Mytilus edulis: one gene and its partner. The protein of the gene in region 1 purifies or fractionates together with the protein of each later gene. This does not show direct contact. Links are inferred from orthologs where the notes say so. Each region holds a gene or a part of one and is shown in the gene's direction. Other genes may lie near its edges. The genes, in order: tRNA (adenine(58)-N(1))-methyltransferase non-catalytic subunit TRM6-like and tRNA (adenine(58)-N(1))-methyltransferase catalytic subunit TRMT61A-like.

What was found.
Region 2: the proteins of tRNA (adenine(58)-N(1))-methyltransferase non-catalytic subunit TRM6-like (region 1) and tRNA (adenine(58)-N(1))-methyltransferase catalytic subunit TRMT61A-like purify together in Homo sapiens (affinity purification with mass spectrometry; 4 studies listed by BioGRID and IntAct, counting the BioPlex papers as one, with this or other methods). This does not show direct contact. The link is inferred for Mytilus edulis from reciprocal best matches to the Homo sapiens genes TRMT6 and TRMT61A.

What each region holds. Positions count from the first base shown.
Region 1 is NC_092346.1:19,643,652-19,660,544, reverse strand, and holds the start of tRNA (adenine(58)-N(1))-methyltransferase non-catalytic subunit TRM6-like, read left to right. Parts: upstream 1-8,542; 5' UTR 8,543-8,611; coding exon 8,612-8,718; intron 8,719-10,893; coding exon 10,894-11,024; intron 11,025-11,351; coding exon 11,352-11,458; intron 11,459-11,736; coding exon 11,737-11,828; intron 11,829-13,112; coding exon 13,113-13,196; intron 13,197-15,217; coding exon 15,218-15,342; intron 15,343-16,893. Other genes in the region: peroxisomal ATPase PEX6-like, read left to right, coding at 1,599-1,707, 2,419-2,535, 3,163-3,240, 4,719-4,858, 5,317-5,462. UniProt on the Homo sapiens protein: Substrate-binding subunit of tRNA (adenine-N(1)-)-methyltransferase, which catalyzes the formation of N(1)-methyladenine at position 58 (m1A58) in initiator methionyl-tRNA.
Region 2 is NC_092346.1:23,882,117-23,898,974, reverse strand, and holds the start of tRNA (adenine(58)-N(1))-methyltransferase catalytic subunit TRMT61A-like, read left to right. Parts: upstream 1-9,615; 5' UTR 9,616-9,669; coding exon 9,670-9,994; intron 9,995-13,156; coding exon 13,157-13,423; intron 13,424-16,858. UniProt on the Homo sapiens protein: Catalytic subunit of tRNA (adenine-N(1)-)-methyltransferase, which catalyzes the formation of N(1)-methyladenine at position 58 (m1A58) in initiator methionyl-tRNA.

The sequences.
Region 1 (16,893 bases):
AAAGAAACTGCACAAATGACGCAGATTTTCAAAGACACTCGGCAAGTTTGTTGAAATATTACAAATTCCGAGGCTATAATAAAACTCTTCTCAATGCCAGCCTTAAAAAAGCAGAAGCAAAAGACCGTAAAGCATTACTAAATCCAGTCAAAAAAGACACCAAAAAAATGACAAGAATACCTCTAGTGTTGAGCTATACAAAAGCCAGTCCTAATCTAAGAGAGATTATTGACACTACTTGGCCATTGTTGCATATAAAAGAAACAACCAAACAGATTTTTAGTGAACAACCGCTCTTTGCCTACAAAAGAAATAAAAACCTCAAAGACATTCTAGTTAGAGCGGCTTTCCAATATCCGCCAATCACACCGGGGACATCTGGTATCAGTACACTAAATAAGTTGACCAAATGCAGCAACGAAGAATGTAGCTATTGCCCTTGGATCAATTTCCGAAGGTCTTTCACAAGCACATTCACAGAACGCAAATATAGAAAAAACTATATTGGTGACTGCAACACACCAAATATCATTTACATGATTACATGCAAGTCTTGCAAACAACAATATGTTGGGAAAAGCAAACGTCCTTTCAAAGCTCGACTCGGCGAACATCTCCGATATGTCAAAAATAAGTCAACGGAACCTACTGGTAAACATTTCAACCAGACAGGACACAACATCCACCATATGTCTTTCGAAATCATCGAAGTCCTCTGGAACGATCCTAATGACAACACGTCAGACGTCCTTAGGAGCAAAAGAGAGGATTATTGGATCCTCCAACTCAGAGCGCTAAAACCCATTGGAATCAACAGTTTAGAGACTTCCAAATTTCAGAACACCACTCACTCTATTCTCTTATATTTGTAAGTACCGTATTTGTGCACATAATTTGAATATAGAGACAGGAAGATATTATAATATTGATAGGAAAGATAGATTATGTATTTATTGTAATACAAGTTCCATTGAAGACGAATTTCATTTTTTATTGGAATGTAATAAATATGCTGACATTCGAGAAAAATATATCAAACAATATTATTGGAGACACCCCTCTACTTATAAATTGATACAATTGTTATCTGTACAGAATATTAAAGAACTGAACGATCTTGGTAAATACTTAAAATTAGCGGAGAAACTACGCTGCTAACTTTTATTAATTTTATGAATTTCATACTCTGCGTTATACTTGAAATTGTATTGTATACAAGTAATTTAATGTATCTCAATGTAGTTAACATTTGATTATTATATGTCTGTTTATTTAATATGGTGCATGTATAATTAATTTGTCAAAAAATGAATGTATATCCTATAAGCTGTACTTGCTTTTGGAATAAAGTATTATTATTAAAAAAGGCAGAATATGTCAAAAGATTTATATTACAATTTTGAAAGTACCTAATAAACCCGAAAATATGATAAGAACTTATTTTTATCCAATACTAGATATTACATTAACTACTATTTCAAATGTAATAAGAAAAAAAAAAAAATTGACTTATGCATGATTGTCCAGTGTCATTGTACTATTTTCCAGAGTAAAAAATATATATTTGAAGAAATTAATCTTGTTTTTTTTTTTTACAGTATTTGAAAGAGCTAGAAGTGCCACACCATGTGTTATATTTTTTGATGAATTAGATTCTTTAGCACCCAACAGAGGGAAAAGTGGAGACTCTGGTGGAGTTATGGATAGGTATTTATGATGGAGGATGTAAAGTTAGGTGTTGCCAACTCACTGACACATGAAAATATATAAATAACAAAAGGGCATATACAGAATTTCAAAAATCCAGCAAAGGTCAACTTTGCCCGAGGGATTTGAACCTTATTATTATAATTATATGTGAAGCCACAAACATGTTATTTCCATGAACTCTTTGTCATATTAGTTGTCTTTCTACACAAAGCATGCATATATATGTTAAACAATGGAAATACATTGCAAAATTGACTGGTCAATAGTCCATTTGCCAATTACCGACAAATTACTTCCCGTTGTCAATCGTAGACTGGTTCCATACCAGACAAAATTGGTTTTTGCCAATGCAAAGCATAATGAATTGAAAGTGATGTATCAGCAGTTTAACTAATTTTTCATGAAAAATAATTTCTGATGTCAAAAGTATTTTGCTTAACAACAAATTAATGTAATCAAAAGATTTGAAAACCTTAAAGATTACTCACATTAGGCACAGGTAAATTTGCTCTTTCTGGTAGCTCTTCATTGTAAATAAAAATCAATGTCCCTCATAAGGGAGACAACTACAAAAGGGATCTCTAATTACAGGGTCAATTATAGGAATTGGCAAATAGCCTATTGATGTCAAATTTACAGAAATCAAGTTAAAATTGTTTTCTCTTATATTGGAGAGTACTTTTTATGTAAAGATATTTTTGTTCACAGAGTTGTGTCACAGTTGTTGGCAGAACTAGATGGTCTACATAAATCCAGTGATGTTTTTGTGATAGGAGCTACAAACAGACCTGACCTGTTAGACCCTGCCCTACTCAGGCCTGGAAGGTAATCATTATTATGATCCTCAATCTCAGGAAAGACTCTTGTCATTAAAAATTTTCCTTATTCATGATAATGGAGTACAAAATTTCGAACGATACTTGAAATTTTTGTCAATTCATAAATATTTGTTCATTTTTGAGAACACAAATTTTTCTGCAACTATAAATTTTTATTTTATCTCTACATGTAGATATTTTTTGTGCGTTTGTGTTTGGATAAAACTAATTTATTAAAGAAATAAAAGTCTCTGTATAAGCTTTAGTTCAAAATGGTTGGATTTTCAGACTAGTCTTTAATTTTAACTGCATAGTAAATGTTTATATGCCTTAAAATATCTTTTTTTCCAAAGTCTAATTGGGACAAAGCAGGACACCAAGATAAAGTGATTGATGTATGCAGACCAATGATATATTTATAAATGATAAAGGCTTAGGCATATTGAACTCTGTATGACCTTAAGCACTTTTTACTTTTATGTACCGGGTATTTTAATCTTCAAGACCTTGGGATTTAAAGAAATAAACATTTTAATTACTAAATTAATGTTTTTAACATTTTTCATATAAATGTGAAATCAACCATTCTGTTTCATATTTAACAACAAGATGTATATACAAAATATATTTACAGATTTGACAAGTTACTGTATCTTGGAGTTAGTCAGGATACTGATTCCCAGTTGAAGATATTACAGGCATTAACAAGAAAGTTAGTTTTGAATAGGAACCAGTTGTTCATCTCATGAAATATATAACTGGTAAACAATAAAAATTGGTGGTCCATCAAATCAGAGGAAATCCAAAAAATTGGTACCCAACTCATAATAATGAATCAAAAACTTGGAAAACCTTGAATTAAAAACTCACAAACCATTGAGTTTTGCTTTGACCATAGAAAAGTAGGAATTGATGAATAACAATGCTTGCAAAATAAAGGACACATTGAAAGTATCTGCAAGATTAAATCAAAGTGCTTGTAAAGTACTGAAGGGTACAGATTGCTTCAATTTATCAGTGGAAGTAAAATTAGGAGAAAACTGTATTGTATTTTAAGCTTGGCCTTCGTAAAATGTAGATTTTACTGTCAAATTAAGTTTACCTAGTTACATGGAGCAGAGATAGGTAAACGGATATTTGCGACAGTGAAATCAATATAGAATGTTATGATCAATGCATTATATTTTGTGTATCAAAAAGGTAGTGATAAGGTTTGGAAGATTTAGATATCAAGTCAGTCCCATAAGGTTTTGATTGCATTTCATGCAATCTTAAACTAAAAAATTATGAGTGGTATTGAATTTGAATCACATGGTTCTAATAGTATAATGTGGTACAATTCTATATTCAATGAGCAATATATCAACCAAAAGACAAATTAATTAGAAGGTTATGTCAAAGTTGCTTTTGAATTTTTTTTCTCCAGTAGTGTTATGGAAATTTGATAGGTCAACGACTCCATGCATGTTATGCTTTTGTAGATTTAAACCTGGGGACATCTTCGCTGGCCAAGGGTTAAGATCCACTCCCGTTCTCTTCACCCTTGGCGGATTGAGCTAACATTTGTGATATCAATGTAGCACCATCTATCGGAAGATTAAAGTCACGCCCATTCCGAATACATTATTCTTGACCAATGGTAGCACTTGAACTCTTCAATTTGGAGGTAAAATCACGGAAGCGTCTAGATTCTACACACTTGGTAAAGCCGGAAACGAAAATATACGTCAGCATGAAACATACACAGGAACTGCTATTAGTTGATTAAAAATATTCGAGTTGTCACTAAATATAGTCGTATGTTTAGTGGGGTAAATACTTGTTGCACAATATAAACACATGGCAATTGTTTACAAACACTTTCTACATTTACACGTGATCATGTTATAGGAGCTTTTTGATTGGATGCAGCGAGCTTCTACTGCAACCAATAAAAATCCTTACCTTGTGTCTCCGAAATGTTAGCTCAATCCGCCAAGGGTGAAGAGAACGGGAGTGGATTGTAACCCTTGGCCAGCGAAGATGACCTGGGGAAGGATTAACACTAGAGTTTTGTTGTCAATAGAGACTCTATAAAATTTAAAACTTTTTTACTTTTTAGAATTAACTGATGAAAAAATTTATTCAACAAATAATGTTGCTAAAAGATGTCCTAACAGATGCTGATTTTTTTATGCTTTTATTTTTTAGATTTAAATTGGAGAAGAATTTAGAATTGAGAAATGTTGTGGAGAAATGTCCAAAGAATCTAACTGGTGCTGACTTCTATGCTTTAGCTTCTGATGCCATGCTGAATGCTTTGAAAAGAAAAATCACCATGCTAGAAGCTGGTAAGCAGGTTTTGTATAGTTAATGTCCATTAACAACTTACAATTAACTATTTTATGTCTGATTACATTCTGCTTCTCAATCAGGATTATTTTGATTGAAAATAAGGACATTGAGAAGGTGGTAAATATTGAATTATCAAACAGAATTCCCAGAAATACTAACCTTCATTTACTGGCAGACATCAACATGTCTTTCGATCTGTTTTCCCAAACTTTACTTTTGAGTCCTTGGTAAAAAAAATTGTGCAAATAAAGAAAAGGTTGGGTAAACCTTAAGTCATGAAGAATTTTTCCCATGATTTAACAAAAATTTTCATTTCAGTGTTACAAAAAATTATTTGAATATTTTAAAAGTAGCATCCTCTTTGGAAGAATGTTTATCTATGTGTTGATAATCAATCAAGTGGACCTTTTGTTTTTGTTTTAGATTTAATGATATATTGTTCTTTTCTTTTCAGGTGAGACAACTGACCAAGAAAACGTTATTGTATCAGAGAATGATTTTCTACAGTCCTTGTCAGCTTTAACACCATCTTTATCTGATGATGAAATGAAACATTATGAAGAACTAAGAGCTTATTTTTCTGGAAACTCTGCATCTTGATGAAAACCTGTCCTTAAAAATCTGTGATAATTATAATTTATTGTTAAAAACTGATGAATATAAATGGAATAAATATGAAATAAAATTTGTAAATCAGTATTGTTGTTATATAATAAAACATATATGAAATGAAGACAGCATAAAGATGTAGCAGCAATGATCTATACATGAATCTCAAAACTGATCATAAATGGCAGATTTTTGCTCATTGTTTAAGACTGAATTATATGGTGGATGGTCACTCTTGATTGTTTTTTTATATTTAATTTCTTGGATTAATAATTCTTTGATTATTTACACTAAATACAAATAAATTGTATGGCTGCCTCAATAGTTCTGTATCGCAAGATTTATATATTATCCATGGTTTTTCAAACAAAGACAGGGTTTCTCAGCTATAATCTCATCCAAGTAAAAAGTTATTACTCTTAAAATAATCCTTGAAAGATGGTTGTTACCAAATTTTTTTCAGATTTTGTTTTTTTTGATAGATAGAAACTTTAAGTGGCATGTTTAAAGACATTAATATATATAAAACAGCAAAATAATCATTGATGCAAGATCTACATAAAAAAATCCAGATAAGCAATTGGAGCTCTTATGAGACTCTTGTATATTTTTGGAACTGCTATTGTTCATGTGCCCCATATCCTGCCAAGTTTGGTTGAAGTGTATTAACCAAAATGGTTTCCATGTGTATTTGTACAGTTTTGGTTTCATGATACTCTGTTGATCATATAGTCCTTGCTTTGTCATTGTTTTGGATACTATTTCAAGTCTCCATTATATTGATTGTAACACATTTGTACAGGTGAAAATTGGCACATAAGTATCAATGGTGCAGAACCATTTAAAAAAAAAAAGTTTTTCTATTCAATAAATTTGCAATTCAGGGAGCATCAAATTGGCAGTGCCAGCTTTTCAATGTTTCTTTTTACAATATTGAAAGGACCCTTAAAAAAAACCCAACTTATTTTTATCTCTAGAGTCTAGAAGAATTATTTTTGGGGCTTTGCTGTCTCATTGACATGTACCACACATCTCAAATTATTCTCATGTACACAAATAAAAAAATAATTTTTTTTTTTATAAAATAATTCATTACAAATAGAATTATATTTTGTTTGGAATTTTTTGTTAGTACCAAGTTGGACCTCTACATAACAAATTGAAGAACAAATATTCATAATGAGTGAAATAATGACTTCTTAATTAATTGTTCTTTTATTTAATTTGAATGTTATCAACAATATGAGGCCTTTTGTACAATTTGAAAAAAGACCATTGCTAAGTTTTGACCTGAATGACCAGTTGTATAATTGTAAAAGAAAGACAGAAGATACAATAGGAACGGTCAAAACTAGTTGAAAAGAAATTACAATGCCTCAGCAAAAAATTGGAAAAAAAACCCAACCTAAGACGAACAACAGTCTACAAAACACAACTTAGAAAACTAAGCAACTTCCAACAAGAAGCACATCAAAATCTGAGGTGATCTCAGATGCTCTGGAAGGGAAAGCAGATTCTGCTACACAAGTGGCACCTACCATGTTGCTCATTTAAAAACAAACAAGTAATTAGTCTAGTTCAGTAAGTCACATTGAAGGAAAAGTAGACAAATTGTGGCTATGACATTTGTATTGTATCAGTCATCTGTGAAACATATTCCATAACAATCCACCTACTCCGCATAGCAACCACTTGGAACTCTTGGTTTAATACCTTCCTTATTATCAGCAACATCTACCAAAGAAATTATGATAGGGAATTCTCAAAACTTTTGCAATCAAACTAATTAGACATTAGCCTGCTCTTTTTCGAAAATCTACAAGAGTGTCTTTTACATGCAAGAGATATTGCTCTCTCTAAACACGGGTCAGCCATTTATCATCCCCTTTCGTCGGACTATTATCATTTCTCAAGACCATACTCACAAATGGTATCATGGGAGAGCCAAAAATTATGTCTCTGAAATTTTCACCCCAGATTGGGGATCAAACCAGGAACCTTTGTGTTTGAAGTCCGATGCACTAACGGCTGCACCACTGCTCTCCTGATTTTAGATGGACATAAAATAGAAAACAGGAATCATAATATTTATTTTTCAGTTTAAATTACACCTTTTTTATACAGCAGTCTGATCAGTAACAGATGCACATGGGATAGACATTGGGAGGATCATTATTTTGTCTTTTCTCACTTCAATTAAAGTTGCAAGTGTATCAAGCATACACATATCCTTATGTCTCAAGAGCCGAGCTGCAGATTTATCTAAGTATAGTACAGCTTTCACATCCATACAATTTTCTGTCAAAGGTTCATTGAAAATGTCTTTACATTCACTTTTCTTCGCTTTATCAGTATGAGTTTGTAGATCAGCGTCAGTAACCCATAACACTATTGTATTATCAAATGGTTTGAAGAACATTTGTAAACATTGAACAATCAATTCTATTTTCATTTGACAAAGTCGAAAAGATGACAGTTGTTGCTTCATTATTTTGATATAGAGTTCTACAGAAAGTTTACTTTCATTTTGTTCATAAGCTGACCCATTAGTTAGGTATTTGAGATTGTTTGTACCAAAACGTTTATCTGTAATTAAAGATTTCCTATTTGTCCAATCAAAATAAACCTGTTTCAATTCACACAGATGTTCACATCCTTTGGACTTTTTTCCAACAGCAGAATCACTGAGTGATGTTTTCAATTTCTTCTTTTCAAATTTCCTAAATGACTTTTCATCAAGATAATCTGTGTACCAAGTTTGTAATTCAAACCAGCATTTTGGAGCTTCTTTGTCAATTTTGCTGGCTGGAAATTTGTAGCTTTTCTTTGTTTCCTCTACTGGAACAAACTTTGGATATTTTACCTGGCTGTATTCACAAAATGTTCCACAACTGGGTCTGCTGAAAAGAAAAGAATCTGTCATTTTCTTTTGTTCCGTCTACATTTTGTTGGTGTTGCTTGGGAAGTCTGGATACAACAATCAAAGTGAAACCGCGTTTTACCACGTGGAATTGTTTACATAGATGTCGCTTCATGATTACGCATCACTTTCCAAGTCATTTGTGCGTTTATCAAATGGGGGTTAAAAACCACGTAATAAGTTCATAATTGAAAGCGAAATTGTACTTTCATTTTCTAAAATGGCATGTGCAGAAAATATTTCATCAACAAAATTGTTGTCTGAAAATGATCAGGTGATACTGAAGAAAGGAAAATGTTGTCAAGTATTTCAGATTAAAAAGAAGAGGTATGTGATACTGGAAAAATCTGACAAACAAACGTTTAAATATGTAAATAAACCGTAATTATCAACATAAAAAAAGGATCAATAATTTGACATGTATATATATATATTATAAGGCTATTTTACATATTCAATAATTTTAATTTTAATAGCTGAAAATTTGAATCCTTAAACACCGGTTTACCCATAAGAATAAGAATATTTTATTACCAATTAAAGGGCTCTATAAAGAGCTTTTAGTTTCATCACATTGCATACAAATATATTACGTACTCTTTATCAAATTATACTAGTCCAAATAATTATGATATCTTGAAAGGCTATGATATATTTTTTTTTATCTTTGTCGCCTTACATCGATGCAGGAAGGCATCAAAGCAAAAATTAAAATAGCCTTCCAAGAGGTCATAATTATTTAGACTATAGACGTCAAGACTGAAGTATAAACATAATTAGTGAATCATAAAATAATCTAAAAACATTATAGCTTATGTTTTTTATACAGCTTATAGCTATTTGTCAGGACATCACAAAGGTTCCCCTAAAAATTTGACATCATAATACATGTGTATCTTGACACCACAATGGAAAAGTGATGGACATCAATAGTTATTGCTATTAATGTGGTTCTGTTTCATCGTTTATTTTTCAACAAAAACGCAGTGTGCGATAAATTCCTTATACGGTTAACTACTAACCCCTTACAGATCCATAGACATGATAGAGGGTGAATAAAATCCATAGGGGATTCGGCCGCTGGCCTCACCCCCTATGGATTTGACTAACCCTCTATGAATGCGTCCGGCTGAATCCCCTATGGATTTTATTCATCCTCTATGGATCCGTAGGGGGTCAGTAGCGAACCATATAATTTATCAGGTCAACTGGGACAAATTTCCAAATAGGGATAATGTTTATACTCTATTATAGATATTATATAAAGCTTTTTGAACTTGAACTTTAGCATGTTTAGACAACAGATTTTTAATAGAAGACCAGCGCAAAACCAGATAATACAAATAAAATCTATGAAATACATGTATGCTAAAATTTAAAAAAATCAAATATTTTGAAAGAGTTTATTTACAGGGCTTTCCCTTGAAATTGAAGTAGTAGGCTAAATTACAATTATAGGTGGCTGTGACATGCGTTCAGCGAAAGCAGGGGGCCTGGGGGCTGCTCAAGGCCCCAAGAAGCTCTGTCATAAATAGAGCAAAATCCTGCATTCTCGAATTTCTCCTGGCACCCAATTTCATCTTTCAAATAACCATTTTTTATGTATGAATTTAAAGAAAGATAAAAGATCTCAAAGAAATTTCTTTTCTTTTATGTAATGGTTTGTCTTTTATTTTCTTTACCTTTGCTTATTAAAAATTTATTTGCTTTTAAAGGAGTTTTATTTATATAAATAATCTGATTTGTTAGAAATCTTGATCGATTTATTTTGCATAACTACGTGCATTTGTAAACAAATGACCACCTTTTTTCTCCAAAGACTATTACGCGTATTTAAATCATACAATTATTTTTCAAGCAATGACAGAAAATTGATATATTCTCTGATTTTCTATTTTTTTCGTAAACTGTTCAATAAGTCGGATACATAAATGTTATTTGTGGTCGAGTCGACAATATTCTACCTTCGTTTTTGGCCATGATTCTCTGAACACCACGTGGGCTTTGAAAAATAAACTTCAAAAGATACTGTTTTTAGAACAACATGATCTACTTCGACCATCGAAACGTCTCTTTGTTATCGTTCAATGACCACCGGAACCTCTCTTGTTATCTTTGAAAAGAAACAATGCATTCTGACTTTAAATAGACAACCAATCAGTGACCTGAATTCATGTGAACTATATTTAGCCCATGGTAAACACTGACTTTTCATCCCTGTTAACTGTGACCGCGACTTTGTGACAATACGTCTCTCAGCTGCCTGTAAACATTTGAAAAAGATATTTTTTTCTTTTTGAATTTATATTTTTGTCAGTGAAGTAGGCGGCACTTGAAGCCACCGTAAACAGCGGTTATCCGCCGTCTACCTGCTACTTTTGAAAGCCCTGAGTTACACCTATACATACATGACATATGTATTGTTACTGGTCGGAAAGTATTTATATATAAACAAAAATGTACATGTAATTTACAAATTAAATTTATTGTTTATTATTATAGATTTGTTTGGTTAGATAAAGTGAAATTTACATTAGATGGAGTTATTGGACATCGTTATGGGACAACTTTCAGGGTCACAAATGGAGAAATGGTAAAGGTCAACAAAAAGGAACTGGATGAAGCTTTCCAGTGTAAGTTTAGAAAAGAATGTGCCTCGAATAAGACAGAACAGTATCATTGTCATGTGAAAGCAAAGTTTTGATAAAGCATGAAATTAACTTTTGAAATAAGTACCACGCTTTGTTCTAATTAATCCACAAGTTATTTCCCTTTTGGCACTGTTGATTATTAGTTTTAAGGAAAAGTTTTATGAAAAAGAAATTGAGAACATCACCATCATTTTCGTAGAATTTGTGACAAGTAATATTTATCAAGTATTTGATATTTTTAGCATGCACAGATTAATTTTATTTGTAATTGTATAGCATGTGATGTCAAAGATATATTACTCATTGTAGCAACAGAACAGGGAAAAGATAACCGAGGACTGCATGATTTAGATTCCAATCAGAAACTGTCACGTGATGACATTGAACTAATGAAAAAGACTGGTATGGAAGGGGAGGTAATTAATAAGTGACTCAAAATATAAAACATGTAATTCTTATACAAGTTTTGATATGAATATGAAAACTTTATATTTATTAACATTGATAAAATATGTAAAGTTTTTAATCAGAAAACATCTGTGCTGAATTACTCTAGATTTGTTTTTCTGGCCTTGTCATTAAAATTTCAAGTACTATACTCATGGTTAGAATCATAATTAAGCCAAACAATACTGGATTTAGTGTTTCAAGCATATATGTATTTGTGATAATAAGGCTCTCTTTTATTTTACAGAAAATTATCGGTCAGCTAATAGAAAATAGTACAACATTTAAGGACAAAACAGAATATGCACAGGAAAAATGGATCAAGAAGAAGAAGAAAAAGTAAAACGACAAGTCTATCAGGCCATGTAAACTGTTTCTTTAGCAGCTATTGCCAAATTTCTTATTTAAGATTGAGACAGAGACACACTTTATAAAAACAGTGACTCCTGAAAATACATAGTGTAACTGATAATGATTTCATATTTATTATATTTTCATGTTTTTATGAAAAAAAAAAGATTTCCTATTGTATATTTAACTTATTGTGTAATAATTCATTGTGAATTAAAAAAAAACAACCCTTATAATTATCCTATTTAATTGATCTAAATGTAATTTAAAAAACCAACAGTGGTCTCTTATTATTTTCTAGAAAAGGATTAAACTAGTAAAAAAAAACAACATTTTCCCATTGCAATGTTACGAAAAAAATAACATTAAGGTGGCTCGCGGGTATAAATCAACTTATTTTTCTAATATGGGATTTCGCCAATTTTTTCTATAAATTAACTTTATCCTATACCTAATAGAAAAAAAAATTAAAATATGGGGTCACCGTTCATTTAAGCTCACAATCTGCCTCCGAAAAAAGCTTACATTTTTGTTAATGTCCTTTTTTCTGTTGAACTAATAGGAGAAATATAGGTAATATCGAAATAAAAAAATAACCTAATTACAGAAATCGCAAAAATTTTACAATTATTTAGTTTATGTACAGCTTATTTGAAAATAATAATAAAAAATATAGGTCACCGATGTGTTAAAAAAAGATATTTCAATTTCAATGCCAAAAAATGTCATTTTTGCACAAAAGGGAGATAATTTGCAGCTTTTTCAATGATATTAACATTTTAAAAGTCATCTGGGGCGAAACTAAATCGATTTTTGGGTTGATTTTTCTACCATATCATAAAGTAATAACTAATAGTGTAATAACTCAAATTTGTAATGAAAAAACAAATGTTTAATTTTTTCTGAAATTTTTGTACCCGCTAGCCTCCTTAAGTGGTAGCACTGTTATTACCTCATTTGTAACTGTATGGTTCACCTCTGAGGAGCCAAAAATTTCTAGAATTTAAATTTTTATCAATTTTTACTTATTTTTGGACTTTGATCATGATAAAATGCACAGTTTCACAATTAAACTTTTTTGCATACTTCCAATAAAGTTGAATTGAACCAATCTTCACAGAGTTAAGTTTTATTATAATAATTTTTTAATTCATTGATATTTTTCATTTGTATCAAATGCTTTGGAAATAATTCCATAACAGGACTTCAATGAGACTGAAACGTCAGAAGAATTCATCCTTAACACTCACTTAATATGAATTTATTTTTCAGACATTTACAGATTTTTACAGTTTTGAAACCAACAGCCAGATTACTTTGTGAAATGTACCATGGAAAAGCTCCACAGAAAATATGGTATGTTATTTGTCATGTTCAAAAATAGAACTATGATACATGTCAGGATGTTCATGTCATTCTTCATCATCAAGTTTGAATAATAAAATTGCCAGTAGGGTGTCGAAATAAGATTATTGTGTTTTGCATCAATTGGTTGTTTTGGAATCTTTTTTTTTTGGTATAATTAGATTGTTCGTACCACAACAAAAAAAACTGTCACGTAACTGGTTAAATATTCATTGTTTGGGATATTTTTAACCAATTACAACATTTTGTTGTACTGTTTAGAAAATATCACCCAGAATGCATTAGATTCTAAAACGGTGAATTTATGGCAGATTCTGAATAATTAAAACCAGGCCTTTCATCCTAGCGTTTTATTTAAAATACATGTACATGTATTGCTGTCAACATATTATTGAAAGGAATGAATAGTATTTCATATTTTAGTTTTTAAAACGAAGAAGAAAGCCGTATAAATTTAATATTGTAATGTTATGCAGCTTTTTCTTCCAGGTAGAAATATTTAATATAAAAGAAAAAAATATGCATAAGCTGCTTGTCTGTCCTTAGTTTTTTTCTCTGAGTCTAAAGAAATATAATGATATCTTTTTATACATGTATTTAAAATCAAGTAAAAAAGTCTGCGTCTAAAGAAATAAAATTATGTCTTTTTATACATGTATTTAAATTTACGGTATGTAAAAAAATAAATTTGATTATTTAAACTTGTACTGATTTGTATGCAAGTATTATTTATTTCACCCCTATAAACAATAATAGAAATAAGAACCAATCATTCAGAGAACCATTGATGGTCTTTCAACTAGTAAAGATTTTTTTTTTATATGAAAATATTAAAATTTGGTTTTAAATGTCAATTTTAGGGTCAATTGAATGCTGATTCCAAAAATATATGGTTTCTATACAAATAGATATAAATAAGGGAAATCATTTTTTACTTCTGGTTTAAAAGATGTTACTTCCGGTATTTTTTGATAGTTTACTTGACACTGATTCCAAAAATATATGGTTCTATATACTATATACATTAATTTAGTACAAAATATAGTTATTTCCGGTTTACAAAAGGTCACTTCCAGTTGGCTTTTTCTAGATCACATTGCTTACAACCTAATGCAAAAAGCCCCATGGCTTTATCATGTATACATATGAGGTAAAAGCAAAGGTCAAAATCTAGAACATTAAATTTACCTATGACCTTGAGCTCAATTTCAAGGTCATCAGCCAAGGACCTCAAATCAAAAGACTCTAGGCCTCTACCTTATTCTGTTAATGAGTTATATTACCATAAAACTAATATTAGATATAAAAGGGGGGAAAACTCGCCTCAATCATCTACATACCCTTTCAACTAAAATTTATTTGTTACGACTTGCCGCAACAAACAATTGTGTGAAAATATTTTGTCGATATATTTCTGAAAATAAGAAATAACAAGCCATAATCAAGATTTTGAACATGACCTTGACCTTTGACCTTGACCTCATTTTAATTTTTTTGGACCAAGGACCTCAAATAAAAAAAACCTAGGCCTCTATCACTTATGGTTTTCCAGTTTTAAATACATTTCAAAATTTCAAATACGAAAAGGGAAATAACTCTCATATGGAATCTCTATAAGACTTCGGTCAAAATAAAACAGAACATCCTGAGGATATAAGGAGCAATTTGGAAAAATAAATTTGTCGGTTTCTTATACAGTTGTGAAGCCTTAGAGATAACAAGAAAAACAGTGTTCCGGGAGATACCTCTTATATGGGAAAGTATTCGGCTAAGCCGAGTTGGTTTCAAAAGCGTATAAACTGTTCGATTTCATATTCCAAATATCTAAGCAACATCTTGCGAAACAAAAAAACAGCAAAGGAAAAAAATTAGGCGGAAGAAAAAATAATTAAAAAAATTTAATAATAATCAGAAGAAAAGCAATAGGTCTTTCCACGTAAAAGTGGAAAGACCTAATAAGATGAAAGATGAGTTGCAATAGAAATTTTTATGGTCTTCTGTTTTATTTCCAGCCACATAAGAATTGACACATTAGCCCAGATTTTGACCTACAGTAATGTTCGGGCGAATTGTAACATGGCTGTTGTGGATACTACTAATGGACTTGTGGTTGGAGCAGTTTTAGAAAGACTTGGAGGTGATTATTAATTCTATTGAATAAAATACTGTGATTATTAGTATTTTACTTTTGTTGATTTTGTGGGTATATATTAACCTTAAATTTAAAAGTTCAATGAGACACAATTTTTTTATGAGGTTGTAATACGCAAATTATGTTTGACATGAATTTTTTTATTTACTTCCTGGACTTTTCTGAAGTAGTAGTCTGATTATATAGAGCACTAAGGACTTCTTCAAGAAGAGTTCCTCCTAATATGTTTCTCAAGACCACATTTTCCAATGAAAAAGTAAAAAATCTTCCTCTTATTAATTATAAATTAAAATTTAGTTTCTTTCATTTATGGGTAAAGTTGAATTTTTGTTCCTTCTGTCACTAATAATTCGTCATATTATAAAAGGTTCCAGATAGGAATAAGTTCCATTTTTTTATACAGACTATTCTTTTAAACTAACAAAGGGTAATTAAAACGTTGATATGGTTAAAAATAGAAAGTTTTTGATAGACTTGGTGTATGATAAAATTAAATGAGTTTCAATGTGACTGTCATGGGTTACTGCATGAAAAGTTTTGTTTGAAATTGCTGCTGCCTACACATTTAACAGTGGATAATTCATAGTACAGTTTAAGGTGGCTCGCGGGTCTAAATCAAAATTTTATTTTAATATAGGATTTCGCTATATTTTTCTACTAATGAACTTTATCTTATACTTACCGTAATAGAAAAATCAAATAAAAAGATGGGGATACCAAGGGTCCGGAAACGGTCATATATGCCACTCTTGACCTAAACTGGAAGTATTTTGTCCTAAATGAGTATAAATTGGGATTTAGGACAAATTTCATTTTTTTACAGAAACAATTTCGGTCATTTAATTAATGTCATTTTGTTGAGATCGAGTTTCTAACATAATCTAAATCCTCATTTTGAACTTATTTTTTGTTTGTTATCCTTTTCCTGTTATAAAACTGCCACTCCAGTAAAGTGTCATAATCTTGAGGGCCCTCCTAATAACTATAGTAATGCCTCGGGGAAATATTGTCTAATGATCACTAATCTCTTTACCTGCGTTTTTAATTAAATTTTCTATTGATCACAAGCTCAGAACTAATATTTTAAAGAAATTAAAAGTTCATAACAACTGTCTGCATTATTTAATTACTTTTCTCAGCTTAGACAATTGTCAATTCTGATTTAAAATTAAATTAAAATTAAATTAAGTTACGTAGAACAAAATATTGTTTCACTACAAACACATGTGCTTTGTTTACTAATACGCATGCTTGAATTGCTCTTCCGAAAATTAGACACTAAATCGTAAATTCAAAATAATTTCATGCTAAATTAAACAAGTCCAACTATTATAATTAATATTCAAACACTATTAAAGGTAAAACAGTTAAAAAGCCGACGATTTCCTGTGAATTTGATAAACAAAACTAATCCCGAAAATGAGTCTGGAATTGGTCGTTTTACTATTGTCGTAAAACATCCGGTTATAATTTTGTCTTCAAAATGGAAACAAACGTAAGCGAAATTTGAGAAATTTATCATTTTGAGTCATTAAA
Region 2 (16,858 bases), about 4.2 Mb from region 1:
GAAAAAGGTGTATTATGTACTCTATTATTTACTTCTAAATTATTTTCAAAATGTGATATTCTCTTATCTACCACATTCATACATTTATTTAAATAAGAATCAAGAGATTTTTTATCAGATTTTCCCCGTTTACACCATTTTTTACAAAACGAGGAAAGAGCATCTTTGGTGACTTGACGACACTCTTTCCAATCTATTTTAGATGGAGGACGATATTTTGGTCCTTTTTTCAAAAAGTTTTTAACCTCTAGATGTCCTGGACGATATTGAGGTCCCCTGTAATAGTGATAATGCCTATCCTCCGTATACGACCTGAAAACACTTTTATTTGTTAATAAAAAATATAAATTATTGCATTTTTATAAAGTAGCACCACTGACCCCTCAGTAACTCCATGACACAAAAGTATCACCATTGACAACATACTTCAAATTTCACTTTTATTAAGTAATAAACACAAAACAAAGAACATGTGCACTGAGCAAAATAAAAAGAAAAAAAAACCCAATAATTCTAAGGCTAAAAATTCTAAAATTATATAACATAACATCAATAACTAAATATGTCAATATATATATATATAGTGTTACTAAATAGTTTCATTGGTGATACCATGCAGCATACATCATTTTTTTTAAACTTTGTTTATGTAATACATGATAGTATTAAATAAGATTAAATAAGTATTGTATTTCATAAATAATATGATGTTTCGCTTGTTAAACATGAAAGAAACACACAAAAAGCTGATTGTCATTATATATTCAGTGGTGTTACTGAACTGGTCAATGGTGTTATTTTATCAAAGTGGTCTCACCATTGACAGTAACACCAATGATTTACAGTTGAATTTTAAGATTTAATTACATGTACAAAATAAGTGCTCCATTCCCCTATTTTATATGTTGTTCCTGGTGCATGTTTCTGTAATCAATATCTTTTCATAAATCAAAGTTCAGGAAATCTTTCGGAAAATGATTTTTATAAAGGGTACACGATGGACACTATTTTCAATTGCGATATAGCTTTTACTTATTTTTGAAGAAATTTGGTTGTACGATAAAGCAGATCTAAATAAATTTTCTTTAGACCTTGATTCTGTCAGTTGGGATGAACTTTTTTCTGATGTTAAGGATGTTGACGAGATGTGCAATACATTTACTCAAAAACTACTAGACATAGCCAGGCAAAACATCCCAACTCGACATGTTTATATACGAAACAATGACCGACCGTGGTTTGACAATGAATTAAGGAGAGAAATTCGTAGAAGAGACCGATTTCGTAAAAAAGCCTTAAAAACTAAAAAAGATTGTGATATCAATAAATACAAAAAGCAGAGGAACAGAGTAAATAATATGAAAAAAGCTGCAAAAGAAAAATTTGAAAGAAGTTTGGATAATCTTATCTTAAATAACGTGGCTAACCCTAAAACTTATTGGAAAATAATGAAAATGCTTATAAAATCAAATAAAGGTTCTGGTGATTTACCCCCACTTAATAATATTATTCACGATGAAAGCATGGAAGATGTAGTGTACGGAGACGACGAGAAATGTAATCTGCTAAATAAATATTTTAGTCTGATTTCCTCCCTAGAGGAGGAAGGTGTTCCAATACCCGAAATTAAGCCAAGAACAAATATTTTTTTAAAAGATTTAGTAATTGAAATAGATGAAATAGTCGATATAATTAAAATTTAGATCCTAATAAGGCATCTGGTCCAGATGTCATAAGCCATAAAATGCTGAAAATGTGTCCTGAAAAAATAGCAATTCCCTTAAAAATAATATTTAATAAATCCCTACAACAATGTAAATTTCCCACCAGCTGGAAGATTGCTAATGTAATAGCATTTTTTAAAAAGGGAGATAGTTCGTTACCATCTAACTATAGGCCAATATCGCTTATAAGTTGTGTAGGGAAAATAATGGAGCGAGTTGTTTATAAACATGTCTTCAATCACCTACATAGAAATAAGTTAATATATGAATACCAGTCTGGTTTTCTGCCAAAATATTCGACAGTTCATCAGCTTTTAGAAATTTATAATTCTATATTAAATTCATCAGAAAATAAAGAAATTAGCTGTTTTGTTTTTTGTGACTTTTCTAGAGCATTCGATAAAGTTTGGCATAAAGGATTGCTACATAAAATGAAGTCATACGGTGTTGACGGAAATTTATTAAATTGGTTTCAAAGTTACCTAAACAACAGACAACAGCGAGTTGTTATTAAACAATCTTCCTCTGAACTTTGCAGTATTTCAGCTGGTGTCCCACAGGGTTCTGTTTTGGGACCCTGTTATTTATTATCTATATTAATGATATTGCTGAACACTTGATTTCTTTATGTAGATTATTTGCAGATGATACATCTCTGGGCTACTCTAGTCGTGACACGACACAAATACAATCAGTGATCAGTCACGACCTGAGTGAGCTCAGCGATTGGTCTAAGAAATGGCTGATGTCCTTTAATCCAGCAAAAACCGAAAAAATGTTGTTTTCATACATTGAAACTCCAGAAATGAATTTCACTTTCAATGGTAAGAGGATTGAAGTTACAGACTTCCACAAACACTTGGGTGTTACATTTAGTAAAGATGCTAAATGGAACACCCATGTGGAAAATATCATAAAAAATGTATCTAAACATTTAAATGTACTTAGAAAATTAAAGTACATGATAAGTAGGAGCAACTTAGAAAAGCTTTACTTGACTTTAATTAGACCGCTTTTCGAATATGCATGTGAAGTTTGGGATAATATGGGTGTGGGTTATTGTAAAAAATTAGAACAGCTGCAGCTTGAGGCAGCCAGAATTGTAACAGGTCTTCCTATTTTTACAAGTAATAGAATTATTTATGATGAGATTGGTTGGGAAACTCTAGCTGAACGAATAGAAAGAAGGAAGTTACAATTATTCTATAATATTCAACATAATAATGCACCAACCTATCTTTGCAATTCTATTCCACCAACAATCCAAAGTACAGCTGTTTATCCATTACGTAATGGGAATGATATAATATACCCTTTTTGTAGACTTTCATTAACCCAAGAGTCCTTCATACCTTCAACAATATGATTGTGGAATAACCTTAATGTGGTGACACGCAACATTGACTCTTTAGGTAAATTTAAAACCGAACTAAAAAATCTTAAATTGAATTCAAAAGCCCAAGTACCAAAACATTATGACTTTGGCAATCGTAAACTCAATATTATATTGACACAACTTAGGTGCTCAGCTTCTTTTTTGAACTATGATCTTAACAGAGTCAACATTATTTCAGATCCGTCTTGTAGTTGTGGTGCCAAGTTCGAAGATTCACGTCACTTCTTTTTTTATTGTCCTAATTATTCGAATATAAGAACCAAATTATTTAATAATCTACATTGGTTACCAGATAACTCTCTACTAAATTTGAACACCTTAACCTCCGGCGATAAGTCTTTAAGTAATGTTGAAAATGAAAGAATTGTAAAGAATGTATATGAATTTATTAAAGAGTCTAAGAGGTTTCTAATTGTGTAATGTAGAACATAATAAAGTGCAAATACATGCATATTGTGTATTACCACTCACATCATCACACACCATCTTTTCAGAGTTCAAATATGTTATATATATATATACATAATGTATTGTTTGTATGCATGCTTTGTAAATATTCTACTGTTATAAATTGTTATGGGACAAGACTTTATAAGTTTGATTAACTTGTGTCTCATCCCCTTTGCACATTTACGCAAATAAAATATGTTTAAACTAAACTTATTTTTAAGATTTTTCACTAAATTTTCAACATAGATGTTTGTTTTCTTTTGCATAACATGCTTACAGGCTACATTGCTAAGGGAGAAACTATTGTAAATGTTAAAATCTTAAGAAAGATAAATCTTACCCTACCAAATTGTCTTTTGGTTACACCATTGACTTAAAAAATGAAACTTTTCCTTATGGTGAAAATTTGTATTATAAAACCAACATACACCTCCCAAATCATTAAAGTAAAATGGTTTGTATGCATCAAAATTCAATAAATAGTGATAAATTATCATAACAAATGATATGAATAATAGTCATATTTCAGGTCTGAAAGGATTTATGGTAAAAAATAAGTTAATTCTGGCTATATCCAAGGGTTTAAGAAAACATTAAGGATAATTTTATTTACATTTCATATTGTATAATTTTTTGATAATGACCCGCGTATCATAAACTGCCATTATAAGAAATATGTTCACTTGTTATAAAAAAAAAAAAGAAGAAGAAAAGGAATAAAGAAAAAAATAGTCGTTGAATTTTGTTACCATGCCTTAAATCATTATATGGTGAAATTTTAGGTTGTAACTTTGTCATATAGTTAATTTTTTGCATGTCATATTGGGGCGCAGTTGTTCTCACTCTTTCGCATAATTGTCTTGGTTTACATAAAGTAGTAAATAAGATGTTTACGCCAAACAGTGAGTTGCGCAGTTTTAGTAAATGAATCCTCTTTGTGAAGAAGCGTTCAAAGTCTATGACTGAAGATGGAACATATACTAGGACTCTGTTCACACTAGCATTTTTTTTAATCGATCTAATTTGAATCGAACTAAATAAAATCAGTTAGCGTTCACATTATCTCTAATCAAAACGATCTTTATCGGTCTAATCTGAACCAGTGCGTTCACACTACAATTAAAAACGCAATCGATCTGACCTTTTTACCCGTAAAACTGTAAACATTGCGTATAATTAGAACTAATTTATCAAATTAATGTGTTGATACAATGATACACACACTTGAAAGTTATTGTTTCTCTTGAATCACAAGTTTAAATTTTGATACTGGTACATGAATTATTGAAGTTTAATTTCTTGAATTTGAAAATAAAATGTAGCAACGAAGTTACAACATGACGAAATACTGCGGTTCCTCAGTGAAAAGAAAAAAATCAACAAGAAAAAAAATCAACATATATGAAAAGATGACACAGATTTCGCGAAGGAGTAGGGACGGTAAGGGCCGATTTTGGCCTCAAATTTCAGGTCCATCTAACGGAAGTTTTTGGACACTTTTTAAACACTTTTAGTGTCTATTTCAATTGATTCGATTAGTTTATGTGAAAGCTTTTAACTGGTTTATTCATTAAAAATGCTCTGATTCAAGCTAAAATATGAAAAATCTATCAAATATGCCAAAAAACGTCACTTTACAGATGTTTTTTTGTCAAAAATGAAAGTGGCCGCATCCGTGTTCATCCTCAACCTTCATACATATTTTGTATTATCATCAAATACAACTTACATTTCAATATTATGGATGAACACGAATGCGGCCACTTTCATTATAGACAGAAACCGTCCAAAAATTAACCAAAATGGTAAAATTGTGAAGATTTCAGTAATTTAGCATGACTTAATGATGATAGAACGCGATATTTGTGCATTGTATTGTCAAACACAGCTCATATTTATGCAGCAGAAGCAGTTTACTTTCCAAAATATAGCTTAAAGATTACATTTTCACAATTTTCTAAAACTGCTATATTTTGGGGCCAAAACGGGGTCTTACTGAACCTACTCCTTTCTCACGGTGTATATTCATAACGCTTCCTTTCCGATAGAATCGGCGTTCCTGCTTCCTTTCCGAGTCAGAAAACGCGTACTTTCCGATACTGTACACAGAAAAAGATTACAACGATTGAATGGTAGGTGTCCTTTTATGCCAATTTATGCTACGTCGAAGACAACATGTTTTCATTTTGTTTTATAAAACGTGCATGTACACAAAGGTCTGTTAACAGAGAAATATGGGCTAAACAATGAACCAATGATATATAGTTTTGCCGCTATACATGTGCAAACATTATTTTCGATTCAATCGTACTAGTTTAAACCGATCTATGTGTTCACATTTAAAGTAAGATCGGTTTACTTTAGATCGATTCAAACTAAACTATCTCTTTTGGTGTTTTAGTTTAGACCGATTGAAGACCGATTCAAAGCGTTCACATTATCCCTTAAAATTAATCGATTTAAAGTGAACCGATCTAGTTTAAATCGCTCTAAGTGTCCTAGCGTGAACGGGGTCTAGTACTTGGTTTACATTTGCAAACATTTCACATATTTACAAACTTTTTTAAAACCCTTTTAAACTAAAATAAAAAAAAATACCAAAACCACTTAAAACAATTAAGGGGCACTACCTACGAGATAAATAAAAAAATAAAATATTATTTTTTATTCGTTCAATCATTTATAAAAGTGAAATAGTGAAATAATAATTAGCTTTTAGCAGGCATTATGGTTGTTAAAATAAGCGAAGAAACATTTATAATGTATTATTCACCTGCAAGTGAATAATTCAACCTCATTAAATCCGTATTCATGTGAACTTCAATATAACACCTTAGCTAGGGATGGATAATGCACGAATTGTGCGTGTATAGTTACTCAAAGGAAAAGAATGTCAGCATTGAAAGTGAAACAAGGATAAATCATTTGATTGACAAATTCGATTTAAAAAAAAATCATCCTTATATAGGTAAAACAATTATATGGTTAGACTGTTTATTTATATAAAGAAAACTTGGTGGTTTAATTTATAATACAAAATATTTAATCAAATATAAAAGTTCGTGTTTTGAGAACATTTGTTTCAAATAAGCTATTTAAGGGGAGACTATTAAACTCTTTTAGTAAAAAAAAATATATACTGGCTGATAGGGAAATTTTTAATTTTGACTTGTAGCAAGAAAACATTTTTGGTGACACCTTTCTTCTCACTTCTATCTCGTATATTTATTTAAGCACACACACGAATCAGTTTTCATGAACAATCTAACCAAATTTAGGCAATTTCAACGACTCATGATCAGAGCTTGAAAATAGCACGGTGATCCATACTTATTAATATATATTTAATTTAATTAAAGCATAGTAAAATCTTCATTTTGGCAAAGTAAAAGAAAATTCTATCTCAAGAAATACATACTTACATGGCCCGTATGCATAAAACATCTTAACTCAATTATTTCTTAGACTTAGATTTCACTAAGAATTCCCTTAGTTAAGTAAAAATCTTAAGTCGTATGCATAAACTTACTTAAGTCTTCACTTAACTAAGGAATACTTAAATCGGAACCTTTCTCTAATTATCGTATGATAAATTATATATGATTATATTAGCTCATTATCCTAGATTATCTCAGATAAACCAGGGGTGGTGTTCTCGAAGCTATCTTAGGATTAGGACGTGTCCTAAGACCATCTTAGGACAAGTCTTTGTCCTAAGTCGTGTTCTAGAAGCTCTCTTAACTTAGGATATATCGCATTTTTCGTCCTAACTTTAGGACACATAATTAGGTGTCTTCAGACCATCCTAACTTAATAAAGTTTGGAAATTGCTTTTTGATATTTATTTTACGTGAAAATGAACACGAAATGAAACGGGACTTCGGTTTTTACCTCGTATAGAAAGAAATAGTGCATGATTTTAAACTTTGAACTTCGTGTATCACGATACGATGACATTACACATTCAATTATCATTTCAGTTTAAAGTGCAATCCTTTTTTTATATAATTTTATAATCATGATAATTACATTCGAAATCATGCATTTAAATCTTTACATGTAATTATAAAATTCTTGAACAAATTTATTCATTGGTTTCATCATTAATAAATGTTTTATCAAAAAATTAAATTTTGCACTGAGGATAAGTTTAGGACGTCCTAACATAAGATGCGTCTGAGATAGCTTCGAGACACAGCTTAAGAGTGTCCTAAGTCAATCCTAAGTCCATCCTAAAGTTGGTCTTATCTATGACTTGGGACGAATCTTAGGATACTTTCGAGAACACCACCCCAGGATTTTCTCAGATAAACTAGAATTATCTCACTTTTTTACATTTAGCTCAAATAAACCGGGATTATCTCGATTTTCTAAGTTTCAGATAATGCCGGTTTATTTTTTTTATTTTTTTTTTTAGATAAACCGAGTCTAAATTAAAAATGATAGAATTTGTTCATACTTCTGTTTATACTATTGTTCATCATGACTTTTCCAAACTGTAGTAAATATTGATATATGTTCAAAAATATAATAAAAGTATAGGTCACCGCGCATTTTCTCAAGCTACAGGTTGTGACAAAATGGCACATTTATATGGATTATACTTAATAAAACTTCTTTTATGTGATTAAAAGCTAAACTAAATGATAGAATTGTAAAATAGAAAACGAGAAGATGCTTTTAGAAAATGATTTGGAAATATCAAAGAAAAAATTAAGGGTCACCTTACGTGCGTTTTTTCCTCCCGCTAAAATGCAAAATAGCAAAATTCCCTGCATATTCCTTCAGAAAATGCACTATTTCAAAGTTACCTCCACTGAATTGTAAAATAGAAAACGAGAAGATGGCTTTTAGAAAATGCTTTGAAAATATCAATGAAAAGATTTATGGCCACCTTACGTGCGTTTTTTTCCTCCCGCTAAAATGCAAAATAGCAAATTCCCTGTATATTCCTTCAGAAAATGCACTATTTCAAAGTTACCTACACTTAAAATGCTAATTTAAAAACATTAAAAATCAAGCAAAAAATTATCTATCTATGTATGTGTCATTTTGGTATCTTGTGGACAGTTGTCTAATTGGCAATCATACCACACCTTCTTTTTTATATTGTTAAAATATTTTATGATCTTAAAATGCAAATTCATATCAGTTATCTGCATTCCTGCGTCAAATTTTAGACCTTTTATTCTTTGGTTTTTACAATCCAAGATGGCGAAAGACACCCATACCACCTTAAGCTGCATTTGGAGTCGGAATAGTTAACAAACAAGGAAATCATGATATATAAATAAGCTATGATGATCTTTCAGTCGAGATATTTATAACCGATGAGTCACCAATTTTCAGTTATAGGTTTTATGCAAAATTTTAGCTCAATCTGTAACATAGCCCATTTACAGTTTCTCGGCCGTTATCAAGTTTGCAGTATGGGCATACGATACAGTTTAGATCCCATATTGAAATTTTGCATGTATGTTTTTACCTGATTAAAGAGGGTCATTAAATCTGAGAGATATATACACGTGTGTATATATGTCTCTGATTAAATCAAATATGTTATAAAAATATACCATCATGTGCTACTTTTTGAGTAAATTAAGGTTGAAATTAGATATTTCCTCAAATTTCGGATTTGTTGCCGTATTTTTCCTTTCGACAGAAGTACATAACTTTTTTGTTTTAAAAGATAAACACAAGCTTCTTTTTGATAATTTATTTGTAATTTCTGTTTTATATAAATGTTCTATTAGTTTGTACATCTTATTTCTACAAATAACTCATATTTAACAAATGTTCATGAATGTAGAATAAAAAAAGTCATTTTTTGCTGAATATTTATCCAATTTAAAAAAAAAATGCACTATTGTCTTTTTCATGAAAATTGATACATTTAAAATCTCCATACGTAATCAAACCACATGTCATTTTACCATGACCAGATACATATAATACGAATCTGGTTGCGGTTTCGATTGTGGGTACATGGTAATGTGTCAATTTTTTAATTACCGATTGGTTATTAGTTTAACCTAATGTTATTACGTCCCTTAAATCATACTTCCGCTAAAAATAAAAACACGTGAAATTCTACCAAAAATGAGTTTCAAGGAGTATAGAACAAACATTGAGGAAAATGACACTGCCATATTGTATCTTGGGTTTGACAACATGCATGCAATTAAAGTTGTTAAAGGACAGACGTTTCAAACGAAATTTGGAGCTTTAAGATTGTCAAACTTGATAGGGAAACCTTATGGAAGTAGAATACAATGTCCAAAAGGATATTTGTATGTTCTGTACCCTAACCCAGAATTGTGGACCCAGAATTTACCTCACAGAACGCAAATTTTATACTCTACTGATATCAGTTTAGTAACATTACAGTTAGATCTGAAACCAGGATCTGTGGTAGTAGAATCAGGTGATCATACATGGATTTTTAAATGTTTGTGGATAAAAAAAAAACCGTACCTTAAATTGTAAAAAAAAATCTTTAACACTGAAATACATTTAGAAAAAATCTCCCTAGTTATGCAAACAAAACATCAGATAAAAATTTAAGGAAATGGTAACAAAGTCTTTAAGTGATGGTTTTCGTCTCTCTTGCAACATTTGAGACATACATTGTACTCCTTGTGGCTTGTTGTTGATACTTTGATGACAACAGTACTAGCCTAGTGGTAACATTGTTGTTGAAGGCAGGGTAATATGAGGCAGGCATAACCTGTGAATGGGGACGAAGTCTGTATGTATTATTTTCTTAATTCAATTATGAAACCGAAATACCGTACGTAACGTTCCCGATTTTGGTTCTGTTGTTAGGGAATTAGCTGTGACGTTCTTTAAGTTATGACGTCATATTCGATGTAAACAAAAGAAACGCTTTCATCAGGTAACGTAACGTTTTTTTTCATATCAAACAATTATTAAAATTGAATTTGTATTGAGATTCAATCTTATGTTTTACTAGACTGATAAATATAAAAAAAAAATCAAAGTCTCATGCAAACAAGACAGATTTCTGCGCAAATGCGGGAAAACCGGAACAGGAACTAGATCTGAAAAAAAACGTTAACGATTTTGAGTTCATTAGTACAATGAAAAATTCGGGAAATTTTCCCAGATTTTTTTTTTTTTTTTTTTTTTCATTGATTTTTCTACCGTAATTGGGGACTTCGTCCCCATATAATCTAAAGATATAAAGAAGTTGTAAAATCTAAAATATCCACGACTCATGAGTATTTGTTATATAAAATAAACATGATAAAAGGTGTGAAGTTTTAGATATATAGCTATGTGTCATGGTGTAAGCAATAGAGGTATATGCAAAATGTTATGCTGGTTCACCTCATATATCTTATTCAAAAGCTGTTAGTTTTTTTCTTAACCTCTAAGGCTCTTTTATATCATAATCAGCAAAAGGTAACAGGATAAGTCCTTACAAAAGTCAGAGATATACTAATGAACAGATATATTTTCTATATGGATGCAGGACGTGACGGCCATACTGCCATAGGATGTATCCGCCATACCCCGAAAAGATGAAACAGCCATATAGGACACAAACGGCCATACTTTGTGAAGACGTATCATCCATTTTTTTTAATTTTTTTTTTTATAGATGTTATATATGAAATATTCTGATACTTATAGATGGTTATTATAACTTTTAAATAAACAATACTGTTTTTACATAATTTATCATGTTTAATTTTGTCATATCCTCCGAAAGAAGGTTGTTAATTGCTTATTATAACTTCTTTGATGAACACAAGTATTAATTATGCTTTTGTCAAGAAATTGTAAAAGAAATACAATTCGAGATCACTATAAAAATACAGCACCCTAGCTGAGTTCAAGTGGAGTGCAAACATACATTAGGTAGTGAAATTCTTGTAAAAATACAAGCTGTTTGAGCAGTCTTTTTGATGTACCGACCTTGCTTTATAAAAGTAACCAGAAATGTCGGTGGCACTCAGTCTCTATGGTTCATTTACAATTTTTTTTATCAAATGAAGAAAACTTTTGAGCAATATATTGGGCGCGTGTCTCTGTTTAATGCAAATTTTGAGTATACAAATTTCGGAGGTGTTAATCCTTTAATTAGTTTACGAGATTGCCAATTATCAAACAAATTTACAATTATTAACGTAAAGGTGTATGCTGTATGGTTTATATGTTTGTTGTATATTATTTGTTTATCTGTATGACTGAATTAATAAATAAAATATATTTTGTGTTTCTTATACTATATTGGTATGATTGTCCATAAGCTCAGTCCATAATACCTGGGACTATTATACTAAATCAGTATAATAGTCCAGGTAATACCGTTCCATTTCTCCATCAACAAATGAACAAAAATGGGAACATTTAAATTGTCAACAAACAGTGTTCAACATAATGAACAAAGCAATAAGAACATTCCTGAAACCATCATTTATCATGTTACATGTGTAAGGGTGCACATTCGTAATATATTAGGGGTAGTTTGTTTTGGTGTCCTTGTTATGGAAAATTCTACAGTAGTCTCTGTCTTGGAAAGATGTTCTGCAAAAGGAATGACTGTAAACTATAAGAAAGAAGAAAAATACAGAATTATTAAACTAAATATATGATGATCATGACAAATATAACTCAAATTGCCTTCCGTAGAGTTAACGTGACCTTTACACTGAGTACTGTTTTAAATTTCACCAAGACTGATTTTCTCTACAAATCTTTTGACTTGTAGAAGTCTAGGTAGAAGTAGACTATAAAATCATCACAGATTTGTTTAGAATAATATATTTCTTACAGATATAATAAAAAGATCAGTAACATGTGCTTGTAATTTGTATTTATATATCGTCTGCCATCGAAAGTCAGCATTCCTATAGTTTCAACTTCATATAAAATAAGATGCCTTTATATCACATTACGATAAAAAATAATTCTTCAGAAATTGTTTCTAACTGATAATGAAGAAATAATCAATATACTTACATAATATGGCACCACCAAGATATAAACACGAGTGATGATGATGATAAAGCAAACTTGAGATAACTCTTACAAGAATAAATAAAGGTGAGCAGTAGATCTCTTGTGCAGAAAAAAATACTACAAAATCAAATTCATGTTATTACTATGAATAAATACTTATTTTATTATTATATTATATGTTATAACTTCAATAAAAAAAAATTAAAGTGTGGACGATACGTCTCACAAGATATGGCCGATACGTCCCATGGATGTGGCCGTATGGCCGACACATCCTAGGGCCGTCATGGAAATGTGGCCGTCACGTCTTGAAAGCTTCCATATGTAGGGGAAGCCGGAAGAGCATTTGCAACTCTTTGTTTCTGCTCTATATGCCAATGGCGTACAAGGGCAGTAAGTAAGTAAAGTAAGCATTTTTCAAAATGTTCAGTCATGAAAAGGAACATGATATTATATAAAAATAAGCTGTTGAATGATTGCCAGTAAGACAACTATCCACCAGAGACCAAATGACATAGATGAATGCAATGATTGGTTATAATTACTGTACAGCTTATCATATACCTATTAAAGTAACAAATAAAAATCTTTATTTTAGGAACTGGCAGTGGATCTTTGTCCCATGCCATCATTAGAACAGTGGCACCTGAAGGACATTTATATACATTTGAATTTCATGAACAGAGAGCACAGATAGCTAAAGAAGAGTTTGTGGAACATGGTGTTAGTGATTTTGTAACTGTTACTCATAAAGATGTATGTCAGGATGGATTTGGATTAAATGGTATAGCAGATGCTGTTTTCCTTGACTTACCAAGACCATGGGATGCAATAACTAGTGCTAAGCAAGCTCTCAAAAAAGAAGGTATTTTTTTCATGACAAAAGTCAATAAGTCAATTTAACACCTTACAAAAGTTCTTAGAGGGTGTAATGGGGTGGGGTGGGGAGGGGGGAACTTCATGACAAATCATGGTAAAATTTTGCCAATGGTAATTTTTGGTGCATGACGATAAAATGTACCCTGAATTTTAGACTGTTCAACTGGTCAGAATTTTGAACAAATTATTGAGTCAAAATGTAAAAGTGCAAGGTGATAAAATAAAACATACTTACAATCCTACATGATTTTTGTCCACTTTAATGTTGTGACAAAACCTGCCAAACAGTTTGTATAGATATATTATAATCATTACCATGCTAAAGGTGAACTGTTGGTAATTTGAATTGCTATAAAAATATCTAAACTAAGCTTTCATATATTGTCTTTCGAAAAGCCTTCTATATTCATAAGAATCAAACATTCTGTTTGTAGGAAGTTTCCATGGGGAGATAATAATTTTTTCTTTCAAAAAGTTTTTATTTTAAAGAATAATGTTTTAGGTTATCTCCTATGGAAACTTATCACTAACTTATTGTTATTTCACACATGGCCCAAGACCACAATTAATGACCCCGCTTTTCGTTGTCCACGAATATAGTTCCTTTTAAATAGAGTGTATTTTTCCTTAATTTATTTTCTTTCCCTTCCTCACTCATTTCTTAAATTTTTTGGGGTGGAAATGAAAGAAGAGAGGTGAAATAAATTTTTGGATGTTGTATTTTAACTGATTTTGATATGGAATGAGTGATTAGGCCAAGTGCAAAAAGGTAATATTTACAGTTTTCGGAACATCTCTTGACTTGTCAATAGGGGTATGGATGTGTATTGGCTAAATTTGTAAAAGTGATTGCTTCAATCTTTCTGAATTTTGGATATATATTTGGACTAGGACTATACATTACACACACAAAATATTTGACAAAAGTGCATGGTGCAATTTTTTTAATGATGCAAAAGTTTATAAAGAACTGATAGAGGAATTAATTGTGGTCTGTGGCCTAAGAGGTGCATTTCAGCAAATTTTTAATTTTTACTTTGGCATCTTCTCTGAATGATCTCTTGGTATTAATTTGTCAAACTACATGAGAAGAAATGATTTTCACTTTCATTTGATAGAAATTTTGTGAAAAAGTCACTTTTCAGGTTAAATTCCCAAAATGTAGCTTTTTCACTTTTTTCAATATTTTTTCAAAAACAGCATGCTTAATTTCTCTCTAACAGGTTTTTTCTGATATCTATTTGTGTTTGTGGTATTTATTTCAGTTGTTTAACTTATTTGTGAACTCTGAACACAAAAAAAAAGTAGATAAAAACATAAAAAGAGTGCAAAATGTGCTGTTTTAATAGTCTAAGTCTAACGGTCAGTTTATGCAGCAGGTGAAATGTGAAGTTGTATGCGCTTAAAAGTTGTATTCCTAAACAGATTGCACTGAATCTATATCAAAAACACTTATTACTGGTTGCTTAACCATTTCTGTTTCACAGACTACCTTTACCTTCTTCTGTTGGATAGCTAGTGGCTAAAATATTGGCCTTTTGAGGCTGAAATTTCATTCAGGTTTTAAACAGTAAAGTTAATAAACTTTGCATCAAACCATACTGTCTACATATGTAGTTGAAAGTGACAGTCTTGTTACATCCAGGCTACATGTTTTATCATATCTAAGCACAGATTTAAGCAAAATGAAGCATATCTCCATCTCCCATATCATTTATATGCTTTTTAATATGCAAATGTGGGGAACGGCCTAAATTGACAACCTGTTTTTTTAAGCATGACATTGCTAAAGACCATTTTATCCACATGTGTTATGCTATTTGAAACTTATATTTCCATTAAAAGTACATTTATAACATGTTCAAGTTTTTTTGATAACTTAACAACCATAGAAAATTGTGGTAAGTGAAAAATATTACATTTGATATAAGGCCTCACTTTATTTGAAAACCTCTATTTTTTGGCACAGGCTCATATAAAATTAACTTCTGGCCATTTTTCATAAGTCTGATACATGAAGTATGCTTTCTGTTGCTTTAAATAGATGTTAACTTATACATAGAGACATTAAAAAGTGTTAGTTTAACTTTTGGTATCTTTTGATTTTTAGAAGCTCAAATTTGATAATTGAAATTGTTTTAATTCAACGCCACAATTAAGCACCCAAAGTTCAGATATAAAAAATGCCACATTTTTTTTATTTGGTATCATATGTCTTTGAAACTTTGTAAACTGTTTTATAGTATACTAAGCTTGAATCATGCCAAGTTTTATTAGAATTGGTCAAGTTTTAGGCCACTAATAGGCCCAAGACCACAATTAATGACCCCGCTTTTCGTTGTCCACAAATATAGTTCCTTTTAAATAGAGTGTATTTTTCCTTAATTTATTTTCTTTACCTTCCTCACTCATTTCTTAAATTTTTTGGGGTGGAAATGAAAAAAGAGAGGTGAAATAAATTTTTGGATGTTGTATTTTAACTGATTTTGATATGGAATGAGTGATTAGGCCAAGTGCAAAAAGGTAATATTTACAGTTTTCGGAACATCTCTTGACTTGTCAATAGGGGTATGGATGTGTATTGGCTAAATTTGTAAAAGTGATTGCTTCAATCTTTCTGAATTTTGGATATATATTTGGACTAGGACTAAACATTACACACACAAAATATTTGACAAAAGTGCATGGTGCAATTTTTTTAATGATGCAAAAGGTTATAAAGAAGTGAGAGGAATTAATTGTGGTCTGTGGCCACATATTTTACATTATGGGAGGTAATCCAAATCTATTTAAAAAACACTATTTGATTACCTCCCTTACACTGCTTGTAAATTATGTATTAAAAAATGATGATTGTCTTGAGTTGATTAAATTTATTTTTTTATTGATAAATATTAATTTTAGCCATGACTACAAATGTATGTATGTCAGTTTATATTTTAAAACTTTTATGATGTACATGTATTTAAATGGGTAATTATATTTGGAAACTCCATTAGAAGTTTGAAATGAGATACTGACCATATCTTGAGGGAAATATTTTTTTGGGGAATAAGGGAAAGGGAGGAGATGAAAAAAAGTTGAGGGGGGGGGGGGACAATTTTTCTCATTTCTTGAAATATTTTTTTTAGGGGGAGCATAGTATGTTGCAAAAAAGCAAAAAAACATGGTAATTTGGGGAAAGGGTCAATTTGAAACAGCATAGTGTATTGCACAAAAGCAAAAAATTCAGATCATTTAACCAATTTGAAGTTCTTTGGCTACTGTTATTCTGTGTCAGAAACCTATTATGTGTAAAAAATTTAGTTACAATCATAGTTCAGAATTGTACATGTATCAAGCCTGAATTTTGTGTCCATTTTGGCCCCAACTTTTCAGGGTTGGACATCTGTGGTCGTATCCAGCTGTGCTCAGCAAAGCA